Neodiprion lecontei: one gene and its partner. The protein of the gene in region 2 binds, or shares a complex with, the protein of the main gene of each other region. Links are inferred from orthologs where the notes say so. Each region holds a gene or a part of one and is shown on either strand. Other genes may lie near its edges.

Region 1 (16,652 bases), on a different chromosome or scaffold from region 2:
TGTGATATTATATCTCCATTAAGAAGATCGATTGATTCTGAGCACAGCCTGTTCACTACTGATGTTTATATCCAGACCAATAGTCTTTGAGAATAACTCGAAAAGCACATGTTATTTGTCAAAAAATACAGTATGAATTTGTATTCACATACAGGTATCTGATTTTTAAGCTATGTGATCATATATTTTCAATCCAGTACTTTATACTCCAGCTGCAAAATTGTATGATGCTTAGATGAAGCAAATATTTATAGTTTCAACAATCATTCAAATATTATTCAGGAAATTATTTGATAACTGAAGATATACCATAGAGAAGAAAGTATGTTGTAACTACTTGAATATGTAGCAAGGTATAAATATATATGTATAAAAATCAATTAATATAAATAATCTGAAAATAAGCAGCATTAGTAATAAATCTTACTCAGTAGTTGGTAAATATATCCAACGTTGCTAGAACGTTTATACTTTCCAATAAAACAAAAAAATTCATTAAAAAAATATATATAAATAAGTGGAAGAAAAATAATGTATGAGTAGAATGAAGAAAAGAAAAAACCATTTAATATTGTAAAACTAGTTTTTCTTTTCAAGTCAAACCAGGTTGTACTTGGCAGCTTAATACCAAAAAATACAAGGAAAAAAACTACAAAAAAAACAAAAAAAAAAACACGCACATGTCTCTATTTTTGCAGTTACACATTTTCACTACATTTATACATTCAAAGGATATTCGAACTGTACTTGTACAATTACCAATGTAATTTGTATGACGTAGAGACTTTTATTATCGATTTACCACATGTATTACAGATGCTAATTTTTTGTGTGTCATAATCGTGCTCCACGCATTGAATATGCTCTCGTTACTTATAGAAAAACTTCGACGCTGATTATACATTAAAATCAGTGACATACGAGTTGGCAACTATTATATACTAAAAAAGGCTTATAAACGAAAAAACTATCTGGCAATATACCAATCCGTATTGGTAGGTGTGCAGTTCTCCAAAGGTGCAGCTAGTGCCTCGAAGTGATTCAGTCTTTTTTTAGTGATGTGAAGCTGCTCGTACTAGAAACATAAGCAACATTTATTGATCATTATATTTTTTCCATTATGAGTTGAGTATCGTTGTTTTATATATTTCGGCTGTTGTAGATTTTCAAATAACCACAATCACAGCATTGCGTGAGACTGATACTGGCAGTTCTTGATTGTTAGAAATTTTTTTAAATGATGCTGAAGCGTAAACATTTCGTATTTGTTATTTGATACCTATCTAGTAATTATAAATAGGATTCTTATGTTGCATTTACTAAGTTGAATACTTTCCTGCACTTATATCACACGTCTATTCACCAAGTTGTTGAGCATTGCACTAAGGTTTAATTAAGTATAAAAGTGAGACAATACTATAAACAATATTTAAAACAAAAAATAAACAAATTAAATGATGTATGTAAAAATACATATATATAAATATATGTGTGTGTGTATGTGTATATATATATATATATATATATATATATATATATATACACACACACACATATATATTTATGTATAATACTTGTAGATATACTAGTTTGACTGTAATATTTAGGTGCCTTCCTTTTATTAAATCAGTTTCAAAGCTTGGCTCTATTGTCATTTTCCACAGAGAACCGATTAGTTTTTAAGCTAATATGTATTTTTGAGAGTCGAAACCCCAGAGTAAATTAGATTTATCATTGGGTTTCATTCAAACGTTTCTCACGAAAATAATGATCAGGCTTAGCTACTGATAACTAAATTTGGATTCGTACTTTATGAAATCGATTTCTGATTTCGTATAAATAAAATTTTTCTTCACCATCTTAAGTTCAAATCCATACGGACCAAATATTGAAGGTATTTTCACGCCATTGTTATTAATATTATTATTATTAATATTATTGTTATTAATTTACGATTATTTCTACTATTACCATATTACCAGATTTATTAAATATGAGAATGGGAAGCAGGATATTTTCGAAAAAAAAAAAAATGCTTCATAAAATTGCTACTATTTATCAACTATTGAATGCAAGGGTTGTAATATATGTTTAGATTTCCTTGAATACTTGTGAGTTGAAACAACATTGATCACATTCCACCCCTTGATAGCTTCTAGTAACTGCATATTTATTGCTTTTAATTTGTCATTTTTCTATTCTTCGTAGGGATGCATAAATAAATCTTTCTTTTTCTGTAACCTGTATCTCTCTAACTTCGATTTATTCACGGTCTGTAAAGCAAATGTTTCAGCATTTAAAAAAATTCCGTTTAAACTTGTAATTGTATTTTAAATTACAAAGGTACGAGATAGTATACATATACACAAATTAATGAGGTGTGCCTGAGGTTGAAGTAGAGAAATAACGTTAGCATTTATTTGACATCAGCATCTTTGTTATGTTAATATGCCAACAGTTATTGTCAAGTCGGTAATGGTAATTTAAGAACCACACTTGTCGCGTTCTTAAATAATCAAATTTCTTCACAATGTGCAAGGAATTGTTGCTACGATGAATCTATTACCCTGCTTTGCCTTCATTTTATAACTGAAATCATGAGTTTTCTAAATCAAATGTTGTCGACGTTCTCGAAATATTTTTTTTCAAGAGATTGCAGCCGTATATTTATTTATGTATACAGTTTTGTTGTTTTACTATATTATATTGTTATTAAAATTATTATATGTATAGTTGTCCACATTTCTTATCGAACGTACTAGATGCAAGTATAGTGCAGGTCTACAATATTAATTCAACCATATTCTTACTATTCTTAGGACAAATATAATATATTCGAAAGTTTCAATACTTGGCTGATGGAATATTCAGTGGTATGAATATTCATTTATGTGCTGAACTGTTTTGTCTACTAAGGCGGCTTTAATGTAATATTATTTATTACATTTATCATTTGAGTGATTAATTGAATGATGTACAATGTACATACATGAAATGAATAAAAATGTACCTATATGTATAAAAAAAAGAAGACAGCTACAAATAAAGTCTATTATCATGTGATATGAGAATTAAACAATTTTTCCATAGTATATCTTTAAAAAAATACTTTAACTCATATTAAGGTGTCATGTGTCTGATGTATGTATACGTCAAGTCTAAATATGTTGTTTGCATTACGGTATACCTAAGATCAATATCGGAGTTCTAAGACAATTTGCGTTATTAGTAATTCCTTGAAATTATTATGGATATCAATTATCGAAATAATATTTGATCTTTAGTAATAAAATATAATTTGTAGTCACCAGCAACAACAACTTTTCCCATTCAAATCAATCTGCCTCTCTCTAGCCATGAGAAGGTTTATAGTAAGAATACCTATCCATGCGAACAAGTTAAACCAACTGGTTGTAATAGCTAATTGCAAGGATAGTCCGGTATTGATCTCATCCCCGCGTCTCCAGTTATTAGCATCTGGCTGTAGATAATCCATGTAATCAAACACGGCTCCACAAGATAAGCGATTATGAATCACCTGAAAAGTTGAGGCTTTTGTCAGAAATAATACTTTTGTAGTTTCTAAAACTGATGTGAAAGTTGCAGCAATTTATTATGCTTCTCCCTTTCGTTCTGATTTACGATTGAAATTATTTTAGATTGATTACAGAATACGATAACGTCCACAATACCTGAACTTCACGACCGCTCGATCCTAAGAGTTGAACCATGTTTCTTCGATATTGGTTACAGGTTTTATAGTACCCGTCAGTTAACAGTACAGCATGTGATAGGGAGAGAAAAAAGATGAACACTCCTAAAAATCCAGCTAAAAACCATCGCTTACAAATAGTTCTTCGTTTGGGTCCCACCACAACGACATTTCCCTGCTCTGCCCTGAGGAATGAAATTATTTGTTTATTTCGAGTTCGCTGCATTCAACAACGTATCAATTAAATTTAATTTATCAGGTATTTATTCCAGAGTTAACGTGTTACTTACCTATGGTCGGATGAAGATGTCATTTGAATCTGTTTAGGATCCCCTAAGTTTCTGTTAATGCATGTTCTGTAACCATGATAAATTGCAAGAACCAGCCCGACAATCAGTACCGGAACTAGACCATATGATGTGAAATGGCACAGCTTAACATCGCCCCCCATAAAAGTACTGAATGTGTTGACACCATACAAAATACACCCACAATCTACGCTAATACAAACATCTAGAGTCCAAGCCCAGTGCTGCCATACTATGAGCAGACAAATTGTGGATGTCGTTGACAAGATTGCAGAGACCGAATACAAAACTGCAAGTTGCTTTTCAGCTTGTTCACTTTTTGCATATAATTCGATACTTGACATGTTTCAAGTATTCTAAACTTTAATCGGTACAGTCAAAATCAGACGCGCATTGCGCATATATCGCCTACAGTTTGAACGTAAATATGCTATTACACACTCATCGTTTTCACTACCTTATTTACACTGTACTTATCATTTATTTATATTGGATTTTTCCTCATATTTTGTTCTGCTCAGAAAACTTAAAAGTCGTGTATTTCCATGGAAACTGAGCTGAGCGTTCTCCGGAACGGAGAGAACCGTACTAATTGTAAGCGTTGCCAAGAAACTGTGGGTACAGTTTATATTAAACAGAGTATATACCGGTGTCTGATGCTAAATGCAGAACACGATAACTACCAATTAATTTTGCTACACAAATACACAGCATGTCAGAAATGGAATACAAAATAACTATTCACCACCTTGGATTAATTTTACAGCATGATACAGAAAACTTTTTAGTGTTTTAGAATTTCAATATTTTCGAATTATTCAACAAATATGGTCCTCAGCCTCAGTCTTTAATTTGCAGATATCTTATTCTCACCTAATATTTAGTCTAAATAAAACATTTCACTCAATATTATTTCTGCTTCTGGAAAGTGGTGCATTAAATTTACCGAAGGATGCAGTTTATCGATTGTACCAGTGACACATCTCATGTACATTTTCAAATTGAGATTATTGCGACAGTATTGCGATTTTCACACTGAAACTTTGCTTGAATTGATCGAGTGACTGCGTAATAAATTTGGTGACACAGTGCGAGAAAATTTCAAACCATTCAGAACAACGAGTATGTGGTTCAAAGCTGATCAAACTATACTACTCCACTGACTGAGATAGTGCTGGATAGTGCGTCGAAGATAGCTGAAAATATTCCATTATGTGTCAACTGTGATATACATATGAGTGTACATGGAATAGAATGAATTCTTATTTAATATTTATTAACTGTTTACCTTGGGGCGCAAACAACACTTTATATTCATACTACAAGTTATGATAAATTTATTTGGCAAGGAACACACTGACATTTATTGCTTGATTGATAATCGAGCACCGAAGCAACACAAGAGTTTTGATTTCTCATGAATAAGATTTAAATTCTGGCACAGATTGTTAATTCCGCTTTCTACGCTACACAATTCTTGGAATATTTAAATATGTTAAACGACGTGAAAACGTTTTATGCGCATTTTATACCATAGGTACATGATATCAGGTCAACCTGCATGATCAGATAAACTTAGATAAGATTAAGCGCCATGCTCGATGAATCAGCGACTGTGAGATTTTATTATTTTTCTACCAAAGATCCAAGGGAACACAATACAAGTAAAATACACAAACGGATATCGAATTTGAGGGATAATCTAAGTCGCACGTTCATTCATAGTATATACCTAGTATGCAAATCACATATGTCGAATATTGACAGGCCAATATTTGTTTAACTTGGTTGAATGTATGAACTTTCGAAGGATAGTGAAAGAAATTGAAATATGGAAGAGGAATGTAAAATCAGATCTTCTTATGTTAATAGTAATCGATTTCACAGTTATGTTACATTATGTCGCTCACATGGCTTGATCCACATAGTCCGTGGCTTGATCCAATATTAGAAGAAAATATATTTAGTTTGAATATAAACGCAAATTACATTTTATTTACAAGTTTCTTTATTTTGTTTTATTATGGTATAGCTTATTTGAATGGACAACAAAACATTGTTGTCTTACAATGCATGGAAAAAAAAATTTCTATGTACAGGGCAGGGAGAAATCGATGCTAGTCTCTATATGGGCAGGTAGCCAATTGATCATTTCCGTCTATAAGAAAAATAAGAATCTATGTTAAACTTGTGAAGATTGATGAAAAGAAAATTAGATTCGAAGTCAACCAAGTGTGTAAATAATTAGAATTGAACGTAATTTCAGATATGTCAATTGTTAGTTGTAGCACCATCTTTTATGTTACATTAAGTATGAAAAATATGGATGAAGCCCATGAAGGATACAGAGTAGAAGCCAATCTCTAATGTGAAAATCGTGTATTTTATTTTTATGTTCAACTTAAATACATTTAATTCAAGTGACCTAGTTAAAATTAGCTAGGAAAGTTTTTAAACTGTAAAAACTCTTCAACCAGAGTCAAGTAAACAGAAAGCAAGGAGTATTCCGAACAAAATAAAATCGATACTTTTCAATCGAATTCAGCGGTACTGACACATTACTTCTTTAAATATCAAACCAGAAGTGAACGCCCATAACAGCATACTACATTTCAATTGGATTCATTTTATTACGAAGAGGAACGTTTTTCGTGGCAAGTAATGAAATATAATATGCAAGCTACTGTGCCAAGTATCGATGAAATTCAATAACAGTATTTATAAATTAGTTCAAGCCGCGTGTGCTACCAGAGATTATAAATAAACATCTACCGCATTGTGGAACAATTATCATTCTCATGTACACATCACGTTCACATCGCAGTAATTCAAATAGAAGTCGAAGAGTTTTACTGTGAATTATTTTATCATCATTTAGGTAAGGACCCTGTAATCAACAACGTACTCATTTCGATAGATTCATCAGACTGATTATTATTCGTTTCCCAAGGTGGATTTTTGAAAGAAACCCTATTACCGTCAGAAGCGTTAAGATGGATAAGCTTCAATATCTGAACTGTAGTAATTAAAATGTTTTGTAAATTAAACTATGTTTAGTATTAATGATTCAGGTAAACTGTAAAATGAATACATGTGGTAGTGGGTATACGAATATGTAATAAAATCACATGTATTTAAATAACTAATATATTTTCACTACTATCAGTTAAAAGAGCTAATGAGAATTGAGATTTCGTTTTTAAAATTGGCTCCAAATGACTTTGGGACATGCTACGACTGTTCCTGCTCAAATTTATTAGCCAAACAAAAACTCAACTCATTTTCATTACGACAGCTGATATTGTACAGCGACTATGACGTGAAAATCTTTCAAAACGGATGAAAATTAAAAAATTCAATTCCTATTCTTCAAAACAGTTTGTATGTATAATACTTGGAAAATTCTGATTTTTTGCACGTCAGAATTATACATTTTTCTCTGTATTAAGCTATTAGTCAAGTGCCCTCGAAATAACAATAAAATTTAAGAGAAGGATCGTTCGTAGCAAACAAGGTTGACTAAAGGTGAATTTGAGACACACACTCTTACGCCGGATTGATGCGTTGATGACTGATTTGTGAAAGTGTTTCCCGGTTATTCCATAGACAGTATGCTGCGGCTATTGCAAATCCAATTCCTCCTCCCGACGCACACTTCCTTAATCCAGCTGAAAATATTTATAATACCACCTTCATTGCGGTATGATACAAAGCCTCTATATTGATCGCTAATAAATGAATAATTTAAAATATCGTCAATAAATATTTAAGCAAACTCAAATGGAAATAATTTGTAGAGCACAACAATTGCACAATATGTTGGTAAATTGTTTTAACAGTAGTAAACCAAGTCCGCTGGGAATTGCAAATAAAGACGCACATGTAGATTTGAATAGCATTCCAGTGGCAGTCGCAGCTCCAAGAGTATTTATCGAGTCATCTGTTCCTCTAGCCCAAGAAAGTATGACTCCAAAGCCACTGTACATTACCGATATGACTCCTAATGTGTTTGCCAGTGACGAGCCATGCTTCATTACATGATTTATCAACCTAGAAAAGGAAATGATTGCGATTCAGATGTACGTATAATATGCAGTTTCAAATAATTCTTTCAACAAAACTATGGCGTTGTCCTAATCTTGCTGCATTTTCAAAATGTACAATCCTCAATACGCATTGAAACTAGATATGCCGAATGATTAATGAGTGTAGATGATATTATGATATTACACCATTTATTGTAAAGTATCCTATTACGTAATAACTCACTGTGTTCTCCTAAGGTTGCCAGTTTGTCCAGCTAAGGTTGTGGCTTTAATTCCTTTATAAAAACCAGAAGTGCCACCTAGGCCAGCGCCAATTATGCACGCAGCTCCAATTTGACTAAAGGCTAATTCAAGTCGACCTCGTTGTTTCACAGCTCCTTCAGGGAATATAAATTCCGGCTGGCTGGCAGGCAGGTAGCTTGGGTCAAAGTTCAAATATGGACTAAGAGGTGCCAATCCTGGTTGTGAGGTGACTGAAATATTGACAGCAACAAGTTTGGTATTAATTAAATACATTCCCAAACTGTAAGCAATGTAAGGAATTTAACAAGGTAACCAAACCAAATACCCTGAGAAGACAATGTATTCTCTGTAGCGGAAGGTGTAGCCTTTTCCTTATCTCCCAAGATCTTAGCATGAAAATCATTGATGATTGATGTCATGACAATTTCTATGGTGAGAATGATGTCAGCACGATAAATTGCAACTATACGCTATGTGCAAATATCGCGTACTGATGGTGATATACCGAGACTTTAGAGTACATACTAATATTTGTCAATGTCATTGCTGAATTGTACGTAATTTCGATGTTCTCGATTTCGCTACGACAGTCTAATGACAGTGGTATCGCGTCTGTTATTGCATAATTGTTTCACGTGGGGAGTAGACTTCAGACCCATAGAGTTGGAGGAAAAGTGAGGTTATGCGACGATACTAAGATGTTGGTGAGTGATCATCGGCGTATTTATACGCCTCTAAAGAAGCAGTGAGACAATACATAATATGAGATCGAACAAGCACAAAGATTCGACGAATCTTGACTCGCTTTTAACGTTTTATAGACACGTACACATGCACTCACTGAAAGTTCGGAATAATGACAAAGTTTGTCATGATATGGCAACACGACATTACTTCAAATTTACCTGAATTTTGCGAGTTGATGTCACGTAAGTCAATCATTTTCGTGTGGATTTAATTGTTTTATAGCTAGCCACGAATAAACGAGAGCAACTACGCTCCCTGATCATTAGATGCGAATTTTGCAATGAATGACCGGGTTGCGTGCTCAATCTGTGGATCGAACTCGACAATCCATTAACATGTTGAATTGTTACCAACATTGAAATACAGTTGGTACTAGTAGAGCCTGAAGTCAGGCTTGTATGTACATACGTGACATGCGTGAAACATGTGAGATAACGAACGTACGCATTGTCAGCAGAGGTTTCTCTCTGTTGTCCGTCGTGTCAGTGTTCGCAACCCTGCTTCGAAAATACTTAATCGTATTGTGTCAAATTCCATTGAATTCCAGTAACCTAGAGTATGTATTCTCCAGCAGCAGACTCTCAGTTCCAGCTTGAATAGTATTATACATTGAAAACAGATTTGGCGAAGAAATTGAATCGGGAGATATCGAACCTGGTGACCCAGACTTCGGTAAGCGTTGCCGGTTTTTAAATCAACTCATAAGAATATAATTATCACTGATCTTTGATGATTACACATGACAAAGTAATGAAGTGTACTTCAGGTATTTTCTTTATTTCGTCGAATTTACATAAGGCGTATAGAAGACTTGGGATTATTTTATCTTTTTATTATTTAGTCTTTCAGTTTTATAAAGCAAAGTCATAGAACACATTTGAAATGAAAAATGCATAATTAATAAATTCGTAGTACAAAAGACAAAAAAATTCCTTGAATGTACTTTTATTTTTTTTAACAACGCGTTAGTAATAATCGTGAGTAATATTTAAATTGAAAGAAAAATCCATATAAATAGCTATTACTTAAAAGATTATGGGATAATAGTAAAAAGTAAATTAAATAGGACGAGCTAGAATGAACGTTCACATTGTTTTCTGGACACGTACATATACTAAAATATTGGAAAGACAATGTAAAACACAATTAAAAAAAAAAAAAAAAATAGATACAAAATAAACACTAGTATCATAACAAAGTATTAGTTCACGAAATCTATAAATAATCACTGTAAGTTTTCAAAAAGTCATAAAATACAGATCCAAATGGATCGGTGATATTTCACTGATAACTAATTGAATTCTTCCATGTAGACTTATAATTCTGTCATTTTTAATTATGAATGGATCTGTGGTCCAATCATCACGTACTTAATTTTATATAGAAATCAGATAACGCAATTAGTAGACAAAGACAAGTCTGCACAACTATATGGATCGCCTGTAGATATCTTACTTGTTGGTATTTTAGAAGTAATGAAATGCGTTTTAATGACATTCACAGGAATGCCAGAAAATGAATTTCACGTACATAATTATAAGTGGAATGAACTTTTCAAAAATTGATTTCAACCAGAATTTAATTATGAATAATTAAGTAGAAATGAGTACAAATTTAAGAATCATATTTCAGAGAGCCTCGATACAGACACTTTATATCCAGTTGGGATTACTAAAAATATTTCACCTACATTTTAGACCGTTTACGTTATAACTACACCGTCCAAACTTCAACAAATAGGTACATCATCCGCATGATTGTATAGTTTACATTGTCGAACAGAAGAATATAATCTCCTCAACAAATGGTGTTTAACTAAATAATCACCACTTTCATAACGTTATTTGGTAGTTGACATTTTCTTGCAAAAAGTATGCATGCTATGTAAACAAGTACAGTAAATAGCCTCCACGCTAAATTATCCGTTTATACGATATTAACAAATGTGGAAGTCTTTTCAGCTTTTGTATGATGATAATTGTGTCGTGTATAACATCAATTCAATAGTGTCTAATTTCGTTACTTCTATTCAGACCTGGAATCCACATGGGACTTTTGCAATATACGGTATTAGTATCAACAACTTTTCAAATTAGACAAGGTCAATTGATCAACATGATTTAGTGTTTCACCCGATTATAACCGCTCATAATTATTGCACATCCCGCAGTAAATACACTCCATAAAAGGAGACTAGCTTCTACTCTTCCTACGACAGCTCTCAGGCTGTCTAGAATTAATTTCAAAGATGGGTTCACACTCTGCTCATCAGGCTTGTCTTGGATGATCTTCATTTTTGATAAATACTCCAATAGTGGTGGGTGATCTTTGCTGAAGATCGGGAAGTATTCGCCAATCTTCTCCCTGGTCCACCAGGTCGAACTGTGTCTAACATACGAGAATTTTCAATTAGGTATTACTAGGAACTTAGAAACCTCCTGTGAGCAACACGCGAGTAAAGATAATGTCCTCGTACCTTTGACTCCATGGGGTGTAATGATAGTGGTAGAGGCTTGCTTTTATGTATTTAGGCGGGCTGTCTCTGAACGGATTCTGAGCCTGATTAATAAGTGCCAGTACTTCCGGTTGTCCCGACAAAAGTCTATAGGCTAATGACATTAACCATGGGTTTTGATGGTATGTTCCTAGTGCAGCAAACCACATTTGCCAATCTAGACGAGGCTGATGTGGTGCTATAAAAAATGACCATGATCGGTTAATTATTGAGCTCAACATTGAAAGCAAATTTGCTTGTTACTTCTCAACGGAAAATGTTACCAAATAACTAAAGACTTGAATTGATATCTACGTCTGTTAACTGTTACAGCGGCAAGAATATGTACTATTTTACTTTTTAAATACTCAACATGCCTGCCACTGCAGATTCGTTTTTCAACTTACCAACAAAAGGTAAAGAATTATTGACATTTCCTGGCTTGTATAAGAATTCATATTCTCGCCAAGGTCCGTCTATGCTGTTGCTTCCTTCTATAACAACTTCTGGTCTTCCTCCCACTCCTGTCATTCGTCGGAATAATCCGTAACTATTAACCAGATGGAGATGATCTACGTCTGAATGCATATGCTTGAGTAGACTTGGGACTGTAGAATTGTGTGAAGAATGGAGCGTGGCGTACGGCACCTGTGAAGAAAAATCAATAAAAAAACGTTGAAAGAGAATCCTGACATCGTTTTGGGATAGAGAGCAAACACAGGCATAGCTGCAGAATTATAATGTGTAGTATAAATTGTTTTACTTACAACACTAATGCCAAACAGGTACACAATATTAAGAGTGTAAATAATGGTGGTAAAAGTGCTGAGTAATTTGCTACCAATTCCTTGCACAGATAAGATTGAATAGGTGACAGCCTCAGCTACAACAAATCCAAGGGATGCTAAACCCATGTAAATAGAGATCGGAACCACAGTGGCTAGAGCACGATCAAACTGCTCTTTTGTAAATGCTGAAATCCAACATTTTATTTTACAATATTGTTGTTGATTAATTTTATTCGAGCTTCGAGACTGTGGTAAAATATAAAAGTACATTTTCTGTCAATCTCATTGCTTACCGATCTTAGACTCAATGGTAAAATCTTCGGTTATTTTCAAGTTGTAGTACACGTATGTTCCATATATCACAGCAGCGTATACGAAAAGACAGACAACTGTTGAGAAGTAATCAACGAAATCGGATTGACTGCTTTTTGCTTTCTTCTTGTAGAAGAATTGGTCGTCCAATAAAGATATAGAGAGGCAGATCGTTAACAGATTGAAGAAATTGTAATTTCCCGTAGCGATAATATTCACTTGCAGAAATACCTGGGTTTAAAATATAATTATTACAATTTATACATGTTAGTGACTCTGTTTCAACTACTTTATCCATTTATAACGGTCGCCCTGGGCAAGCAATAAGTCCGTTTCTTTGAAATCTAGCATACAAAAGACTACTTTGTGTATAATCTTTAAATTTGCAGGAAAAACGTGAAATGCTAAACAGAACTCGTTTAAGTAAAAAATTATTTTGTTGCATGTATGCTTACTTGCAAGTAGAAGGAAGTGATGCGAACTTTTCTATTTGGGAAGAAGAACAGAAACGGTATTGCGAGCTCGAAAACGTTTGCTCCTACAGTGGTTAAGCGAAGAAACCATGCCGGTAGATGATGAGCATACCAAGCCAAGGGAGTAGGAATGCATTGTGACTCAAAATGCACGTTCAAGGCTGGAAAACAACAAAATAAGTCACGGTTAATTTGTTTGGCGAACGCTTGTGGCACGAGAACACTCTTGAGGGTCTTATCCCTTTGCTACGATATTAAATAATGAGAAATAAAGTATGAGCAGCAGCTGAAGCTGCAAGTCTAATTTATTGTGCTCAATATCACGTATACGATAGTTCAAGTGAAAAAATCACATACCCTCCAAACCCCACCACGTCGGACAGCCAGAAGTTAGCTTTACAACACCGCTGGAAAACATCAATCGAAAGAGTAGCCAACGAACTGCCCAAAATGTCAATGCCGTAGATGGAGTGCTGGATTTTCCTCGGCGGGGGTACCAGAAGGGTGCAACAATAGTGCACAAGAATCCAGCTTCGAGAAGAAGAACATCCCTGTAAATAAAAGTTATTTCAGAGAAAAAAAAAATTTAACATTATCAGATGACAAATCTTAAAAATTGAATAAATATGATTGTTCTGTCATTTCAGTTTCTACTATAGAAAGTAACTCTTTTAGCTAAAAAATATTCAAAACTGATGATATAGGAAAGAAAGTGACGAATTAGATGAGAAATAAAGAAAGCGATGATATCTTTTGATAGATTGGCAAGTCCAATTCATCTCGTTAAAAATAGACATGATATCGGAAGCATACAGATTTTATTTGTAAAAATAGTTGCACTCATTGGTGAGCAGTAACCTTGACAAACACATCATTCGATACTCTGGTCAAGTGTTGAGTGTCAATACGATTCTCGAGTTACAATTTCATGTAGACTGTCCTGTTCAGGCCTCCCATCAAGCTTATGCAATATTTCTTGGGTTTTATTTCAATACATATTTGAAAGTATACCTGACCGACTAGCCTTGGATTTTATTTAGAAAGCATTATAAAGTGAATAAAGCTTGATTGGGATGTTCAGCTCGTGTTAAAATGTTTGAAAAAAATCTCACCACTGAAACAACATGAAAGTTTGTCCAACTTGATAAAGGGAGTAGTAGAGAGACCATAATCCAGCAAAAACTGGAGCAGTGCAAAACCTTTGCGATATAAATCTGAAAAACAAAAATACAACCTTCATAAAGTAGCAGAGACGGATCTTAAGCTTTTGCGGAGCTTTAGAAGACTTGAATTGCCACTTTGACCAATAGAAATCAACAAAGTCTTATTTTACCCAGTAAATGAGAGAACAATCCCAAGTATCGCCAATACATCGAGCATATACTCCGTATTTAGGCTTATGTATGGTGCGAGCCAAAGCAAAGTTGGCTTCTGTTTTATTCTTTGCGACAAAGTGTTACCACCCCTCAAGTCGAGTTGCGCCTTGGCTGGTAAGACTCCGTTATTGCCATATAACCCTATTGAGGAAAATAAGTTTTGTTTTAATGTTTAAACAATTAAAACTATCAGCTCCTTCGCAGTCATTATAATTACAGGTATTTCAAATTCAGAGACACAAAACGTTATTTTTCAATCCAGTAAGAGAATAAACAATTGAATTTGCTTAGTATCAGAATTGCATGAAAAAAAATTGTCAGCAAGTGCCTATAAATTACGGTGATCGTGTTTTTTTTTTCGGTCACTTAAAACGAACAGATAAAACGAAGGCGTTATTTTTCCTGCAACTGGAATCCGTCGTTTCGGTAAGATAAAAACTTAGTTCACACCCGGCCTAATTACGGTAAAAGACAATTGCGGCTAATGCCGCCTACTGAAAATATGGGGAGGTCTATTAGAATGGGCATGAATAGTTAACAAGCGAATAATTGTAAGATTGTCTTGAACGAGGTCTAGGATCAACCGGTGCTATTAATGGGATAAAAATAAGCCGTTCTTACCTGGGATTTGGATGTAGAAGCTGAGAAATGCGAATAAGTAAATGATGCATATACCTCGCAGGAATAAATTGCGGGTATACCGAACCTCTCCCATTGTTTTCCTTCTTTTTTTATCGAACCCGTACGTGTCAAAAAATTGGCATTTATTGAATAATTATCGGTGAAAAGGAGACAGTAAATTTTGATTAGGAAGAGCAGCCACGAGTCCACAATCTGCTGTTACAATTTGTTACTGGAACTGGGGAGGGAAAGAAAACGCCAGCGATCCCGGCTGGCGTCACTCAGGGATCCAATCAAAAGACGGCAGATATGTCGGCGAGAAAATTTCATCTACGTGCTCCGCTTGTTATTCAAATTTCAAGCGTAAAATGCGGATTCGATTTTCAATCGCGGCTGCGACGCGAGGCCCTTTAATTGCAGAATTTAACAGACTGTCTCGCATCGGTGACAGAATTTTTTCTAAGTAAGCAATATATATATAAGCCTGAAATACGAACGAAGTGTGAACGCAGCTTTAGATCGTCCGTCCTGTTTTTCTCCTTTTATACAGCCACGTCTTTTCTTTTGATTTGTTCTTTCGTTAGGGCCTGCGTATCCTCAACCAATCGTTCTGCTTTAAAAATCTGGGAAACTATTTGAAAAATTCATTCACCACTCACCAGTAAGATTCGGAAGTTGAAAATACATTCATTTGATTTTAGGCATAGATAGGAATGATCTATCAATGATCAAATTCTATGTCGCGTTTAGCTGTGCTGGTTTTTTTTTTCCTAAACCAAGTACAACGTGCTGTTTGGTAATTTATTCATCTATAGGCTTAACGAGGAAATAGAAAAAAAAAAAAACAAAGAACAACGATCAGCACGGCCGACAAATGATTTGACTCATTTATTTAAAAAGGATTTAACTCTCGAACTGTTTCTAATAATAATTAATAACCATCGGCAAACTCATTGTAATGTATGGTTTACGAAAGTACATAATCACTCGTTGTCACAACTGATGCAATGTATAATTATAACAATACAAATGTATGCGACAAACTTATCGTTATACGTATATACTGATATATGTATGATGTATATGTATATTTTATATAATATAATATGTATAATATATAAATATTAAATGCAGTGGTCAAAGACCACGGTATAACTGAAGTAACAACGAAAAGTAATAATCAAAGTTCATCAACTTGAACAAAATTATTATACACGCTGTACAACTGTTTCCAGCTATAATTCTTTGTTGGTAGTACAAATTTTATCGAAAAACTAGAGTATACAGTAGCTGTCTACCCATCTACTGCTTAGTTTTCCTTTACGATTTCACTACTTTGCTAAAGTACGAATTTTCTCAAAACTTCTGAGCTGGGTGGACATCGATCACGTCTTATCATTGACGCTTAAAAGTTTAGATGTGGGTACCAGCCGCTCTAAATTCAAGCTCAACTAATTAATAAATAACTGTCATTGTTTGTTAAAGACTAATTGTCGCTGTGGAAATAAGAAATATACTGGTGGAACGAAGTT
Region 2 (16,652 bases):
CGCCTAAAATGGGGCTGACCAAAACAGTCGAAGCAAACACCCTTATGGCGTGCCATTTTGTCGTAAAACATTGAATTTCCATTAGGGCAGACAAGTTCCCATCCGAAGTTGAAATTGTGCGATAACAAACATCAAACGTTTTCACTTCTCTTCTCTTCACTTCATTTTCTCCCCATTTGGTCACAATAATTGGCTGAAAATTAGAACAATGGATTCGGTATCAGTAGTGAATGGCTAATGGGATCACAGGTATCTGAACAATAAAATTGTCTTTAGTAATGATAACAAGATTAAAGCTTAATCAGATAATTTTATGAGATGTCTACCTGCTTGTAAGTTTTACACGGGCTCTCTTTCTTTCTTATGGCAAGATTTAATTCCCCACTATTGCTTCTAGGTAGCTTAGTCGTGACAACCCAATAACTTCGTGCAAATGTTTTAGCACATTGGGCACGAGATAAAGCCTTCTTTATTGCATAAGCTTTTTTTTCATCGCTTGCTAGGATTGAAATGCCACTAATATATCTGGAAAGAATAGAAATTTTACTGCTTGGCAAAATCAATTACACATGGATTTTTTCAACAAGTATAAACTGTGATACTAGATCGGTGAGTTATCTTAGGGAAGTTAATAAATTATTCTCTGCAACTACCTTTCAGGAGATTTGACAATACTGAGCGATGGATATCCAAGGTCTTGAGATATTTTCGGAAGAACATCTAACAACGTATAGTTGACAGAATTGGATATGCCAGCCATAGGCTTCCATTTTGTCCTTTCACTCGTTATTTCTCGCGAAAAGTTGGAAATGCCGTACGGTTTGTTAAGAACAACCACACCATCTAGCACCAAATAGAATAATAAAAATAATGTGGAATTCACATACTTACAGTATCTCGCGAGACTATATAAGTGAAATTTTTTTTTTTTATTATAACAAACACGGAAAACGTTACCTTTGTTGTAAATAACATTGTCAATCAAGTCTTGGGAAAAGTTTTCGATTGATTTCCAAGGGTGAATTTTTTTATACGGATGTAAGGGTTTCCTGTCTCGTTCGACCTTTTCTTGGTCATTCGTTTCTCGGGAACCTGTCTTTCGATTTTTTGATTGTTTATCTAGGTTATGAGCAGTCACAAATGATAACCTATTCGTGCGATTCACTTCGTAAATTTTCAATAACGTACGCTGAACGAATTGTTGCAAAGTACCCTTCATCGTAAACTTCGGGTATGGTATCTATCAACAGTACTAAAACTCTCGCATCTTTATCCAATATTACCTTTAACAAAAATTACTCCAAAAATTGAAATGCACCTACTCAACAACACGGATTCGGCGAAACACGTGTGTGTCAGCCGGTCGTGTCCGTGTTTGTTTTTCGATGAAATTTCCGACGTTATAAACTATTCCAAAAACATCGCAAATTCCTGAAGCACGTTGACTGAGGATCTCAGTCAAAGCTGTATGTAAGACCACGCTATGATCCCACGTGCGTCCCGCGTCTTTATTCATTCGTACAGGCGTTGGTACAGAATATGAAATATACGAACAGGCGATGTTCTTTACCGAATTTACCGCATTAACGTGATAAAAATGTCTTCAACAACTTTAAAACCATCCACGAATATCTAAAATTATAAAGAAAAGCAGGTTAGTTTTCCAGTATTTTCACCTTTAGTTTCTGATTTTAAACACTCACACCACACTCCAGTTTTAACGTATTCTTTGTAAATTTATTCTAGCAAAATTGTTGAAGGATTGTATTTACACTAGCTTATGGTATGTTTGAATTGTTATAATGTTTCAACAAAACGGTAAGGCACCAACTTTATTGAGCCGTGCAATAAATAACCTGCAAGGCAAATTGAAAAACAGCTTTCTCAATGGTCATCCACATCACATAGTTCCTGGTTATAATTTAAGTAAAAATCCTGACGTTGAGAATTATGACGAGGATCATCTTATGAATATGTTTCAAGAGTTTCCCTACGATGCAAATTTACCAAAGCCTCTATTACCCCCGGCAAGACTGCCTCAGTGTGGTGAGTTCTTCTGCAGTTTAGTTTGTAACCTTTACCCAAAAATTCCCTGAAAGTTGTCGTCTTCTTAACTTTAGAACAATTTTCCTAGTTCTTAGAAACAGTGATCCAGCGTTGCAGCTTCTTAAAATTAAATCTGAAATCAAGGACAATGTCAATCAAATAATCAAGTATCATGAAACACATAGAAAAGGTATGTGAAACGTATATAATTTTTGAACTACTGGTAAATTCGAAAAATTAACGACGGAGCCAGGAATCGAACGTGGTATCTAGCGATGCTTTACCGGAGCCTTACTCCACTAGACCACCTAGCCGCCCTGACTCTGATGTCGTTAATTCCTCTCATTACCAGTAAGTTCAAATTTGTTTTCTTGTGCTGTGATAGTATATGTGAATATAGAAAGTGGATAGTAAGTTACCAAAATGTAAACACACTTACAGACACTCTTACAATTGTGCTCGAAGAGGAAGAACACTTTCTATATTCACATAGAAAAGGTATGTTATTAGATTTTAATACTGAGAAAAACAGTGCAAATTAATTTTACCAAAATTTAAAAACATTCATTTAATCTCGATTTTTTTCAGATCTGAAAGTTTGCCACAAGACAAATCTAAAGTGGACAAAAATAGGAAAAGATACAGTAGAATCATCGGTGCCAAGATATGTTGCTAAGTTGGCTGAAATAATGGAGTGTGATCCAGATCCTGAATTTGAAGGGGTAAAAAATTGTCTAAAGAAACAGAAAATTTCTTTCATTAGATTTTACAATTTTTACACTAATAAATTTGTTTAGTACAGTTGAAATGAGTTTTTGGTTGAAGCTGGATTTACTTGTTGTTGAGAACATATATTAACTGTTGTAGGAATATAACTGGTATTATACAGGTGGATCTTTAGACAACTTGTGTGTCTTTGATAGAAATATATTGCTCTTTCCATATGCCAATGAATTAGGTATGGAAGTAATTAATATTTGATCGATAATTGTACCATTGTAAAGGTCCAAGGATTGAGTAAAAATTGCCATTGCAGTTGCTGCACCATTAATTGAGAAACCAAATTCATCGTGGAAGCCAAATTTAAGAATAGCAGGAAAATGTGACCTCAGGAGTACCTTGTATGAAGTAAAGCATGTCGTTACTGCAGGGCGTTGTTGTGAGTGATACGTTGATAATCTAATATTTCAACTAAAAAGCTATTTTTCGCATGGAAGTTCAAGTTAATGTAATGTACACAACAATTTTGATCTGTAGAGTATCAATTGCCAAGCCAAACACGTTTTAAAGGAAAAATTCATAACAGAATTTATAATAAAGATTCTGTCTAATGAGTAACTTTTTCTTGGTAAAAATTGTATTTCAGGTAGGATTCTCGGCAGGCAAAAGTACTCTTGTAACTTCTATTCCCTGAGGGATGATCAGGAAAAATTGGAACTGAATGAAATTCACCAGGAGCTATCAGAGTTGCCATACATTAGTGCGGACTTAAATCTGATTGAGTCTAATAAATATTGTGTAGTGAATAGTTCCCGATCTGTGGAATTCAAAGATTTGAGTAAAACGTAATTTCTTTTGTTTCTCATAAACAAAGCTGGTTCTGAACAATTGTCTCCTCAGCTTATGAAATGATGATTGAGCAACAGCTTTTTAGTTTAATTTACCAATCATCAATGATAATAATTTTCCTTTATGTATTCAACAGGAAGTGTTTGAGCTGCACAACAATGCCGAAACATGGAACATTGCCAGATAATTGGATGAGTATAAAATTCAATAAATCAGATCCAAATTTGATAACATTTGTTGACAGGTGTTGTCTATATTATATTGATTTACGGGTAAGATTTACAAATGACCTTGCTGTCCTTCATCATATTTTATTCGCTGTTCTCAAATATTACGTAAACTTCATGGTTTCGACAGATTCCGTTGGATGGGCCTACTTTGACTTTGTGTCCGAAGCATAACTTGGAAATATGTGAGATGATTTCTGTGAATTCTGCAAGCAAACAGAATTCGTTTCATCAATACTTGGGAACATATCACAGCTTGTTGTTGTGCGACAGTCGATTTGGAAATTCAAGTGTTGTACAGAAATGGACTCACCAGTTTAAAAGTCCTCCAGTTTTTTCTTCGATTATAGAAAGGTACGTATATTTGGTTACAAGATCACATACTAAAATATAAAACTATTACTCTACAAATATGCTTTACCCACCACACTTAAGCTATTATAAATTGGAAAACTATTTTGACATCCAACTTCCGGTGGTTAACATTATTTTTAAATAACTAATATGAATACGTAATGATATCATCTATTGACAGAAATGGTGAAGAGATTATCACTTTATCTAGCCAGTTGGCTGGGGAAAATTCAATAATTATTAACAATTGGACAAGCGACACAAAAATGCATTCATATGCTTTGCCATACATGCCGCCAAGTACGTCAGAAACTTTGAAAGCATGCCAAGACATAGGAAAATGTCTAGAACCGAACCTGAGAAACAGATTAGAACTTTGCAATGCTGGTACTGTGTTGAATCTAAACGATAGAAATGATGTGACTCTGTTCACTCAGAATTCAATAGGTACAATAAGTTTCGTGTAACCGCATACTAGTAACTTTTGTGAATTCAACAAAAGAAATTTAATAATTTTATATGGCTCAAATGATATAGGTGATATATTTTACCAGTGCATAACGCACGAGAAGATTTCAGGAAATGATTCAGACGTGAATACAAATTCTCTACTGGCATTAGAGGCTTGGGAAGAAGCATGTTTAGCACAGAGTAAAACTGTGAAGCCCTTAGTAATCTCAGAAAAAGCAAGTATGGAACATATATTCAATGGTGAGTTGGAAAAATGATTAAATCGAAATTTATTATTGCAAGCAAGATTGAATCAGTTACTTCAATTTCTAATGATATCTTTCACCAGAAATGAGGAATAAAAATCGTCGCTTGGAACAGAAGGAACCAAAAGTACGATGTCATGAACCGAAGTGGTTTCAGTCAGTGGAGGAATTAAATTCTTACGTTGACATTTTCGCCCCAGAACTTTTAGCAATGTGGGACATACGACAGGATTCTGCCCCCTTGACTGTAACTCCGCACCAAAAAGTGTTGAGTTGGTTGGAAAAGAAAACTCCCTCTCAAAGTACGACACAGTCACAAAATCTAACACAGTCCCAAGAAGACACATCGATAATAAACGAATCAAACGAAATTCTTTCTCAAGAATTGATTAGCGTATCTCAAAATGTACCACCCCAGTATACTCTTGATAACACTCAGAATGAGCAATCCTGTTATGATGTACCCAAATCAAAAAAATCTCGGAAAAAATTGGCTACAAAGAAAAACTACATTGCTGGTTTTTAATGAGTACCTATGTTCGAGTCGGAGAATCGGAATTTCTTTTTTTATTCTTAAAATCGAAGCACAAGTGATAGTCCATGGCGATGAAATGTTAACATTGTTATTAATATTTTTAGAACTGTTAGTTTCAGTGATCCATATATCATAATTTGCATGGAGATAAAACAGTGAGAAATAATTAATAGGAAACTGGTAACTTCGAAGGCCTGCATTAATTTTGGTAAATGTTACAGCATAGGTTAAGTCAAAAAATAAATTTTTGAAATGGTTTACAATTACTGTATATTCTTATTTACAAAATATGTTGTATTAAGTAATACAACAGGTTAAATAAATTATTCAACTTATGATTGGATATCAATAAGTAACTGTGAGTTTTCATTCATTATAGCATTTTCAAACTGGTTTTCTGATCCAGAAAGTCACGGGCGATAATGAAATGTGATTTATGCGTACTCGTTCTGACAGTAAATGCAAAAAATATTGCACTTTTCCACCTTTTACGTTCAATCGTTAACGATTCCGTAAAAATGATGGTTTCCATTTCGACATCAGCACTTTGTTGTCGTCCTTCAATGACTTGTGTTCATCCTCCTCCATTTGTAGCTAAAGAAAAGTAAATCGTTCGTTCAATCTATCGTAAATTTATTGCTGTAGACTATGTTTTTAAATAATCATAAAAATCAATTTGATTATTTTTATATAAATAGTGACTACTTACCAAAAGTTTTCGTTGGTTCTCTCTGAAAGCTTCTAATGGATTGTCAAATTGTTTGTAGTAATTAAGAACATCCCTCACATCTTCTACATTTGTTGCTGATATCACTGTAAAAAGGTGAATTTTGCGTTACAGCATTTCAACTTTCTGATTTGCAGGTAACTCATTTTCGTGTAAGCTATCTCGAAATATCGTTAAGTGATCTAGCATTCATTTAATAAATTTCTAATTTAAACATACTTTTGAGGAATGCAGCTAAGTCATACAAAGTCGTATCATCATCGTTCCCTTTCCACCTTGGAAGCTTCAGTATATTTTCAGGATTGAGTTTCACACTTTCGCTATTCCAATCGACTACGATTACCTAAGAAAATCAAAGCATGTAAATCATAGTTAATAATTAAACGATACAAGATGAAGAAACATAACAGGTACTTGGAATATGCCTCTTTATAGCAACTATTTATTTACTATTATTATTCTAGTTTGGAACAAATTCTTATCCCTGCCAAGTGTTTTTTTTTTCCAATGCTTTACACATTGTATTGAACTCACTTTACTGAGATCCCTGTTAAGTGCAGCCAAATCCTTGACGTGGTGCCCATCCACAAAACGCGTTGCATCTCTCACCAGTCTGTACATAATATATCCTTGCGGGTCTAAAGCATCCAAGATGGGGAAAACAGTCTGAAATTTATTGAAATTTTGCATACGTAAAGAAATATTTCAGAAAGTAAACGCACAGTATGCTGTATAAAATACTCACCATTCCTTGTTCGGCTGTGTAAATCACAATTTCAAATTGAGGTGGTGCAACAGCCTCCAAAAACTGATCGACTCCTGGACGTTTCTTAAATCTCCAACCAGTTTGGTACTGTTAGAAAATAATGACCAGTTTGTTAGAGTGAAAGTTGTATGAATTATCATCTCATGATGAGTAGTGGTTGTAATTATTGAATTGGAGTATATTCAACGACAAATTAAATGGAACTACATTGTATTTCATGATTCGACTTTTGCATGGTCTACATAGTAGTCACAGAATGTAATTCAGAACTTTATTAACATTGTCATAGTGAATAACGCAGTAAATGCTTACCGTCCAATCAGGGTGAACCAATACATCTGTCAATTCAAGAATCAAGGTATATGGAGGTTGCATATAAGGATATTTCAATGGATCTGGTAGTAACTTCTCTCTACTTGGTTCTTGAACAAGCTGTATGAACAGATTTGATGTTGTTGATTGATTAGAACAGGGGTATTGAATTTAACAAAAAAAAGCCTTGATATCATACTTTTTTGTAGTAGTTTAGTTCCCTACGTAGTCTCTTGTACAACTGTTCGAAGTAAGGTAAATTACTGAATTCATCTTCGATAATGTTTCCTTGTTCGTCAACATTGGGTCTAGCTAATTCATAAATTAAGAAAGAGCCCATCACACCCATCGATACTCCAAAGAATGCAAAGCTATACTTCATCATTTTCCACGAATGTTCTCGCTGCTTTTTATCTTCGGCTTCTTGTTTTTTCTGATCCGCATCTTGACTCGACTCTTCATTTTGACCACCTGTTGCACTCACGGGTTTTAAATTTTGATCAACTGTCGATTGTATGTTTGTAAGACTCCCAGCTATCCCAGGACGGTTTGCTAATGAAACATGAATAAAATAAACCCACTAATGTAACACACTTTGAATACAAGCAAGCTTTTACCTTATCTTTAAATAACTTTAAGAAATTAATTCAATGCTGTGATATTTCTTGATAAACTTTGAAAAAAAAAAAGTTCACATATTTTGTTTTGCAAGGAAAACATTTAACGTTTGTTTACTGATTGTATTGTACGATTAAAGTTAGCCTCCCTCCCAAGCGGTTCAGAATAAGATGACACTCAGCTGTAAAAAACACTCATTGTATTTGAATTACATTTTTTTGAATGACGAAAACGTATCCAAAGGCTTAATTCCTCACGTGCTAATTTGCAGAGCTTATTTTTGACAGAGTATACGGAAAATAATTGTGATATTAAAATTAGCTTTAATGCAGAGTTGTAGTAATGCAGATTCGCCGATACGAGAACAGTAAATAGAGTTTTCAACGGTTTTTTCTACGGTATTAAATTCGTTTATCAAAGTCTCGCAAGGTTGAGGTTATGTCGTTAGCGCAATGTACTCACGATCGGTGCTGTAATAAAATTTTTGTGCTGACTGAACAACGGATAATTTTCTAATCGGTTGACGGAGCGTTGAATACGTTCCGCACCTGTTGCTATTGTATATTTTACAGAAAACTCGTAATCCTCGAGCCGCGAATGCCATCGCTTATCACGTACCACACTTTGATCAGTTGGATGGTTGAAATATTTTGTGAAGAAATGCCGGGATTTTTCGGGTAAGCACAGTCTACTAACTTATCGGTAGATTCCCAAACTGCCGAAATATCGAAACACACGTGGAAAACCGATGTATTTGCAAATTTCGAAATCACCAGGATGAACATAATTTTGTTTTTCTGTTGGAAAAAAGATGAGTGTTTTCCAATTGGGAAGTAATGAAGCTTCCGAAAGTTTTGTCAGAAATTACAGGAATAATCGACTTTCCGAAGGCTCAGTGGCTACAATTTTCGGAGTTCGTAGAAGTTCGCAAAATTATGTAGCCCTTCTTTACTGAACATTAGATTTTCCAACCAAATTTCATTCAAGCTGATTTAGTGATTTCTCCTGAATTTGAAAGATCATTCACGTTGAAAAATTGCTTCCACTTAACGGTTTGGTGGAATGAATGACCAGAATAGGTGTATTTCCATAATAACTTCTCGATACCATATGAATATTCTTTCGTGCAAGATGATTATTCAATAATAAATTTTTATTTCAAGTTATATTGTATAAATATAGATAATACCATCATCATATCTCTGTGTAGATGCCAAAAGGTAATGCTGAGCATTTTATAAGGTATATTGGCATTTCCATATTATTGAATTAGCGATCATTTAGTTGAGCACTTCTTTAAAAAAAGATTCGATATTAACGAATATTAGTTACTCCGACTAGTGTATCCAATATGCCTAAATTTTGAATGGACAATTGCAGAAATACAAATCAACTTTTTCGTTAAAATAATAATGATTCATTCAGGAATTTCAAAATGAAGGGTCTACCGAAAAACAGTCAAAATTTTTTAAACAATTTATAAATGCATCATTACTAATTTTATCGCACAATTCAACTGAGAAAATATTAACCACCAAGAGAGCTTCTGGAATTTTTTCTTTTCTCTGTATAGACGGTTTTTCTCTAAGTATTTGTTTCCTTACTTATTGTATAATAACAGCCATATGTTTGAACGCTTAGTAGAATAAAATATAGTATAGATTTTAAAGTACAAATTTTTGAACAAGAATTAAAGAATAGGTATTATATGCATTTAGTTTTTTCTTAGACTTCGTAACTCAATGGTGTTTCGTTTGCATTATATTTTTTCGATGAAGCATCTTGACCATCTTTTTTGCCGTGAAACCGGCACGGCCACCCCAATGCTTTCGATCTCTTGTCTCCTTTGGTTGGACCCAGTAATCGTAAGACTCTTCATCATCTATTCGTTCTTTGGAATTCGATCGACATTTGTCTGGTCCATAACATTTAGAACCAACTTTCGCAAAAACCTTTTCTCGAGCATCTTGACGCGAAGAAGCACGTTCGAAGAACCATTCAGAGCGATGATTACCATCGCGATGCATCTCCCGAGCATGAGATCTGTAAATTTCGAGTTTACACATTTATAGGAATACAAAATACTGGTCGATTTAGAGTAAGTTCTTGTAAATCATGTTACCTTTGTAGTTGCCAATCGCCTGATAACTGACCACTACTCTTTTGATTGGTGTTTTGCTTTTTTGAATCTTTTTGAATTTTCGTAGGCCTCATCTTCGGAGGCGGCAAAGTTTTTTCGTTATACATAACTTTTTTTAAATCTTCAGTATCATAATTGTTCTGTGTTTTTATCCACTTTTTACCGCGCTTCTTCTTGCGTTTTTTGTTATTATCTTTGTTTTCGTCATTAGATACCACTTTTTTCTTTGATTGAGTTGATGTAGTAGAATCATTGGAACATTTTTCACCCTTTCGACAGAGTTTGAGAGACCCGTTCGATGAAGGAATTTTTTCATTGCTTTGTAACAGCTTTTCTTTGTATACCTCTTCTGAAATTTCTTCGCATAATGGAGATTCTTGGAATCCTGGAGCCACATCATGTTGTACAACCGACTGGCGAATGTTAGCATTCCACTGCTCTTTCATGATCTTGACATTCTGTAATACATTAATATCACTTTCACTTGGGGTGACATCGTGCTTTGTCTCGCGCAAGTTATCCTTTTCTTCGGCGCTCACCTTTGTATACAAAATTGAAAACAACATTCAGAAGGAGAGCAAATTACTTAACGAATCAATTCACACGATTTCCCAAGGTGTAAATTACAAATAAAATGCTCGCAAACCATCAATTTCTTACCTCGCTTGGGAACTTGACACTATGTGGTTTTTCCTCATCCAATTTTCCCTGCTCAGATGGCACAGCATTGCTTGTTGATTTTAAAATGGTCGAATACAACGGTTTTTCTTTTGCATTTGGTACTTCAGGCTTGACCATTTTATCGCAAATAGATTCTAATTCAACCCAAAGGTTTTGACTCATAGGACAAGTTTCTGCTGGCACTAGTATTTCCATCACAGAATTTTTACAGCTTTGCGAATCTCTGCTTGATTTCATAATCTTGGTTCTCTTCTTACCCCGTTTTATGCCATTCTCTAACAGAATTCTCCCGGACTCTTGTTTAGTGTCTTTTCCTTCTAGGCGAACATTTGGTTTTTTTTTCCAAAAATCAATATTTTTATTGTAATTGTAAGTCAAATCTGGCATTGAACTGTCGCTAGAGTAATCTTTTGAAAAATCATTTTCAGTTCCAGAAGACGAGTTTTCGGATAAGCTTGCTATTGCTTTACCTGTAGTCTTCGGGTAAATTTTTCGATTCGATATTCGTTTTTCTTTTGTTTCTATAGAACGTGCATTTGGCTTTAAGGTAACGTTTAATACTCTGTCGCAGCTCTTTAGAAAAGAATTATTTTCTTCTAAGGATTGAGACACCTTTTCATCCAACGATCCAGACGTTTTCAACAAGCACAATCTCTTGTTCAACTTGTGCCTAACTTTGTTTAATTTATGATGAATTTTCATAGTCAATCCATGTATGGTATAAGTTAAATCGGTGAGCAGCGATTCGCAAACATCTCTTATCCTCGTTTCAGCATTTCTCAAAAACTCCATCTGCTTTGGCCTTTCTGTATTACCAAGTTCTTTCACAACAGTGTGTACAATATTTTTAAATTCAATCAAATCAGTAACAATGCTTTGTGTCTTGGATGCGTCTAAACTTATAAAGTCATTCTCTGGGTTGATATCATCAATAACAGAGCACAATGTGTTCAGTGATATTTGTAATTGTTCCAAGATCGTAGTATCTGGATCGAAGATGTAAGTGTCTGAAATTTTAAAATGTTTCTCACGTTGTTGGAAACGTTTTGTTCTTGATTTAGATCCCCGGATGGGTAGTTTTTCTTGTGCTCGTTTCACTTGCGGAATACTGGCTTTTATTTCGACGAGAACGTTTTTAACTGTAAAAAAAAAAAAATTACAAATAATGCTGTCAGTCACTTAAAAAAACTCTTGTAGTTTGTCACCCATGCATGAGTACAGTTATATTCTATCTGCTCTAGCTTACCTTCGTTTAATTCTTTTATTCGATTAATCAACATGTCACTTTCTGCCTTTATAGTATGAAAATCAATGGCACTCGTAATAGGACACTCGTCATCCATTCTAAGGATGCGGCCTGCACCAAGTCCAATGATAGCTGCCAATGAACAGGCAATTACAAAGTTCAAAATCGTTCCAACCTAAAAAAACCAGTTTTGAAATATTTTGTTACATAGGCATGTGAATGTGAGGATCTGTGTTATGTGAAATATATTGATGTAAAAGTATGTATTGTTCTTAATATGGCAATAATAGAGGTTTTGCAAATTTATGGATCAGTGGTGATAAAATTGTAAACAAGCTATTAGCAGCTTGGTAATTGGTTGCATAAATTTCTACGAGTATTTAGGGAAAGATTAATCCAGTTTTAGAATGGGATATCAGCACTTTTTCCTGAACTAAATTCCAATATTAAAATTGTTTCGGCGATAGATTATATTGAACTACATCATAATATTTACTGCAGACATTGCTGTGAAAACAAAGATATTCTCTGACGAAATAATATAAAATTCTCTGTTTTACTGTTTAATTAATTTTCAACATAGAAAATACCTGCGGACTTGATTTTTCTCCAGTCTTTTCAAATTTGTTAATCGTACTGCACAAATGGTTTCGGCAACCATTGATTTCTCCAAATTTCTTTGTTGCAATTAACTGATCACAATCGCAATCAGTTATTACCGATATACCATCAGAATCTTCAACTGGTTTGTCATCATCGCTTCTCGTTTCATTATCCACAGCATCGGTATCAGGTGACGAAAGCACTTCTATACTCTGTGTGAGAATAGTTTATTACTTGAAGTCAATTGAAATTTCATTACTGCAATTTAAATATTCCGAATCGAGTACTTTATAAAACGAAGTAAAAGCTACGACAACTTGCAAATCTCTCCTGAGAGCAATATATCACCCTAATAAGTACTGACATTATCGTAGCTGTGATTATTGACAGTTCAGAATTACAAAGTCTTGATCTATACAATGAGTCTTACCCCAAAAGTATCCTGAGCGTCGCTGACAGACATGTCGTTATTACTGCCTTCGTCGGAATCATCTTTCTTTGAACAATTTCCACCAATTATTGTCCAACCGTCGTTGAAAAAATTTTCGATACTTTCAGAGTTCCCAAAATCGTAATAAGTCTGTTCATTGTCAGCCATGATGAATTGTTCTCTTTATGAAGTCTGTGCCGATGTAGCGTAGAGTCGCTTCTTTATGCCATCTGTAATTGGATTATTAATATTAAAGAAGTTTTAAAACAGCGCAACCAATATTTAATTCTTTAACGTGGCATTAGAATTGTCAAATAATAACTATTACAATGATTATTATCGTTTAAATACTTAATTTAATATGTGAATAATAAGCTAATTCTCAATAAATTACACTGCAGTAAGGTCGCATTGATTATATCAACAGTTCAAACTGATCGAGGCAAAAGTGTACAATCGTTTCTACAATTGAGAAGTTTATCTGACATGAAAGTGAATAAAACTGTGAAATTGTGTGGCAGTATGACTGGATGTAGTTGAAGTAATGAACAAAGAAGCTGAACGTAAATAGCACCGCAGATATATAACGACTGCATGGATGCAAAATACGCATAAGGCGTTATTCAGAAGTAAAATTTTATGAATAAGACTTCTGATACACGTAATTCCCTCCCGTTTCGCGTTCAATGACACTGAAACATTGCAGTCACCTATTGTAAATTGTAAATAATTACTGCAAGCTAGACGACACTTTGGTCGCATAAATGAATACGTCAAATCGTTCAAAGCTTACTAGTAGTTTTTTCGTAAGGTTTCTCGTTCTTGTTCTTGGTATTAATTTACTTGTCAATTTCAGCGAAAGTTTAACATTACTTCGTTGCTGCGAATGGCGTGGCGATGTGCAACTTTTCATCGTTGTATTATTTTGTTTTAGCGTTTCCCCCCTTTGTTTTCTTTATTTTCACTACCCGGGATTGGTGAATTCCATTTGTTTGGCAACAAATGGCACGGCCAGCTGATTGCTAGCGGACAACATTTGACGTGTCAAGGCCGCTCGATGCGCGTACTTTCATCCTTCCTTTGTCAGGCATGTTTATACGAATTAATACAGATATGTACCTACTTTCATTCGAGAGGCAGTTCACTCTCGGAGTGAATCGAATGAAAAGTCATTCATCGTGTATCATACGTATACCAGCGCCATACTTGTAGTACCGATTCGATAATGGATTCCCGCTTAATAGTAAAAAGGAGACCCATCTCTAATGGAGGAGCTTACAAAAAATTTGTCCTCGAAAATTTGTTCTTTAGTAGTTTTAGATTTCATTAAGAGCAACGCCGTCATCGTAATATTCTGAGGTGAAGTTGGTAAGAATTGACGGTCTTACATACAGGTCCGGAAACTAGTAGGGTGGGGAATGACTCAGATGAGGCAAAACCGTGGTTCTCGTCTTCGCCGTCTGCAGTGCTGCCCACTCGGGGTGAGCCAATCATAAATCAGATCCGAACAGCTGATTTTTCGGAATCAACAATCCTGAATAACACTCAAAAATGAAGAAAGATGCGAATAAAAATGATTGAGATGTTTACTAGCATTCCATGGCGGGCGTGATAATTGTTTTATTTTAACGGAATCCTCAAATGTTTAAGTCAATAAAATCCATAAACATCAAGCGAGGGCTCACAATTTTGAGACAGTTTGAGATCTTGTGGAGATGATCCACCGTTTACACACTTTACACGAGTTATGAACTGTCAAAAACTTCGATGAGCAGGTTATCTTAACGGTATATATCTATATCTATCATATCTAGTCTATCATACCTATACCATCAGCCTAGTCTCCATTCTGTATCCGCTGTATCTCACTCCTAGGGAATTTTCCGTGCTATCAGCAGAGAGCCTACACATCTCTGCTGCCAGTTTTTGTAACATGGCTGCTGATGGTGGCTTTTGGCATGCTGTTTGTGCGTGGAGTTTCATCACTGGAAAAAAGAACCGTTCTTTTAAAAAACGGATAGTGGCATTGAGTACCTGTTTTCACCGTCGGATAGAGCTAGCGTCTAAATACAATTTTCCTTGGTGATTCCCCGCTTAGAGTCTAGACGCCTCGTAGCTGAGCTATTGAAGTATTCTTGTACAACCGGTGTGTAGATAAAAGCTACGTATGTATAGACATGAAAATTATAACCGAACGTATGTACTGGAATGAGTACGAAGAGGTGAATCACGAAATCAGGAATTCATCACACAATATTATTTTCATTGAATTGAAACACAAAATGATAATAATAATAACTTTTTTCTTATACATCAAAGGATCAAAAATTCACATCAATAGTGCGGTTTTATAATGCAGTCATACGCAATGCGTGCGGGAGGCGCTTCATGGTAACTGTTACAGCAACTTGTTAACCAACTTGACCAGATTTGACTTTAGTAAGGCAAACTATAGTAATGATAATAACTTCATGTCTAGTGTTGGGTGGATCTCAGTTCTCGACACCATCGAAATGGACGGTACAATTAAAGAATTTTTTTTCTGGCACGATATAATATGGAACAATAGCGAATTTTGCACTATGATATACAAAAAGAAACCTGTGTACGGTATTTGGAAGATCTCTCGGTCATAGGATGATTGTATCAACTTCAAATTTATTACAACTGAATGCATTACAATGTTCAAAACTTGTAGCTTATCATATATATCGAGAGTATAAAACTGATTCTGGAAGATACTAACGAAGCGTTCTGGTCCTACCCAAAGGATAAAAATTTAACATCGTCGAAATATATTTATTTAATAATCAAAACTCGTTTCAGGTAAAAAATAACAAATTTGATAAAAACAAGATTTGCAAGTATTTTTCCATACCGATGGCCAAATTCATCCATTTCTAATCGCTTAATTGTAGGGTTTCGAGAACTAAAAATCATGCAAGCAGTAATTAACGATTGTTTCACTTTTCCGACGAAGTAATCAGTAATTTGCAAATATATTGAAGGAAAAATGTATAATCAATATTCTACATTTATAACATGAGAAATGGTTCATTGATGGTTATGGAGCATCGAAAGAATGATTTGGGCCACCCGTGTAGGAAAGTTTAACACTACTTTGATTTCGAAACAGTTTTTTGATGTCAAATAAAGCTTGATTAGGATATGAGTCGAATTTGGACTATGTTAATTGTTTTCTCTTCGAACTAGTAAATCCACAGGGATTGATACATGAAATTGGATTGAGATGAGAGCTTGAGATTTCAGCTTCAATGGAAAAAAATTACCGAGAAAAATTTTAATCGATAGGAGCAACAAACTTCCGGAATGACTATCGATGGCCGACCTTATGTAGACATATCAGATGGGGGAATGTTCAGAGGAGGTCTGAGAGTAGTGGGGCGTCGCACATGGTAGTGAGTAGATACTTTTCAGCCATGTGTAAGTACGAAAAGACGTGACAGATAGAGGAACGAGACGAGAAGTATGAGGTGACGGCAAGAGATGAAAGTGACAGTCCGGGATCCTGCCGGACGTGAAAGATATAAATTCGGAAGGACTTGCATCATTATTATACTCGTTTCCACGCCACTGCAAGCGGTAGAGTATTCGGCGCGCTTTTTTTACCGTGGTATCCCCAGTAGGCCTAATCCACGAATAAACAACTAAATTTAACACT

What was found.
Region 1: mitochondrial import inner membrane translocase subunit TIM50-C (region 2) and mitochondrial import inner membrane translocase subunit Tim23 share a complex: the UniProt entries of both Homo sapiens proteins name them as parts of the TIM23 complex. The link is inferred for Neodiprion lecontei from reciprocal best matches to the Homo sapiens genes TIMM50 and TIMM23.

Annotation. Positions count from the first base shown.
Region 1 is NC_060260.1:5,833,759-5,850,410, forward strand, and holds mitochondrial import inner membrane translocase subunit Tim23, read right to left. Parts: upstream 9,024-16,652; 5' UTR 8,729-9,023; coding exon 8,635-8,728; intron 8,540-8,634; coding exon 8,290-8,539; intron 8,071-8,289; coding exon 7,901-8,070; intron 7,749-7,900; coding exon of another isoform or gene 7,699-7,748; exon of another isoform or gene 7,689-7,698; coding exon 7,571-7,688; coding exon of another isoform or gene 7,567-7,570; exon of another isoform or gene 7,563-7,566; intron 6,179-7,562; coding exon 6,169-6,178; 3' UTR 5,996-6,168; downstream 1-5,995. Other genes in the region: uncharacterized protein LOC107225069, read right to left, coding at 3,305-3,538, 3,693-3,897, 4,003-4,364; lipase maturation factor 2, read right to left, coding at 11,177-11,444, 11,533-11,749, 11,958-12,198, 12,318-12,523, 12,632-12,881, 13,106-13,284, 13,481-13,674, 14,236-14,337 and 2 more. UniProt on the Homo sapiens protein: Essential component of the TIM23 complex, a complex that mediates the translocation of transit peptide-containing proteins across the mitochondrial inner membrane.
Region 2 is NC_060265.1:20,608,572-20,625,223, reverse strand, and holds mitochondrial import inner membrane translocase subunit TIM50-C, read right to left. Parts: upstream 8,608-16,652; 5' UTR 8,475-8,607; coding exon 8,333-8,474; intron 7,805-8,332; coding exon 7,452-7,804; intron 7,373-7,451; coding exon 7,253-7,372; intron 7,028-7,252; coding exon 6,920-7,027; intron 6,841-6,919; coding exon 6,709-6,840; intron 6,518-6,708; coding exon 6,394-6,517; intron 6,261-6,393; coding exon 6,157-6,260; intron 6,042-6,156; coding exon 5,949-6,041; 3' UTR 5,457-5,948; downstream 1-5,456. Other genes in the region: mitochondrial mRNA pseudouridine synthase RPUSD3, read right to left, coding at 1-193, 327-525, 654-843, 958-1,219; uncharacterized protein LOC107223411, read left to right, coding at 1,803-2,046, 2,135-2,236, 2,635-2,768, 2,914-3,004, 3,083-3,205, 3,413-3,611, 3,752-3,887, 3,973-4,196 and 3 more; uncharacterized protein LOC107223414, read right to left, coding at 9,610-9,913, 9,993-10,549, 10,671-11,830, 11,938-12,112, 12,528-12,752, 12,971-13,138. UniProt on the Homo sapiens protein: Essential component of the TIM23 complex, a complex that mediates the translocation of transit peptide-containing proteins across the mitochondrial inner membrane. Has some phosphatase activity in vitro; however such activity may not be relevant in vivo.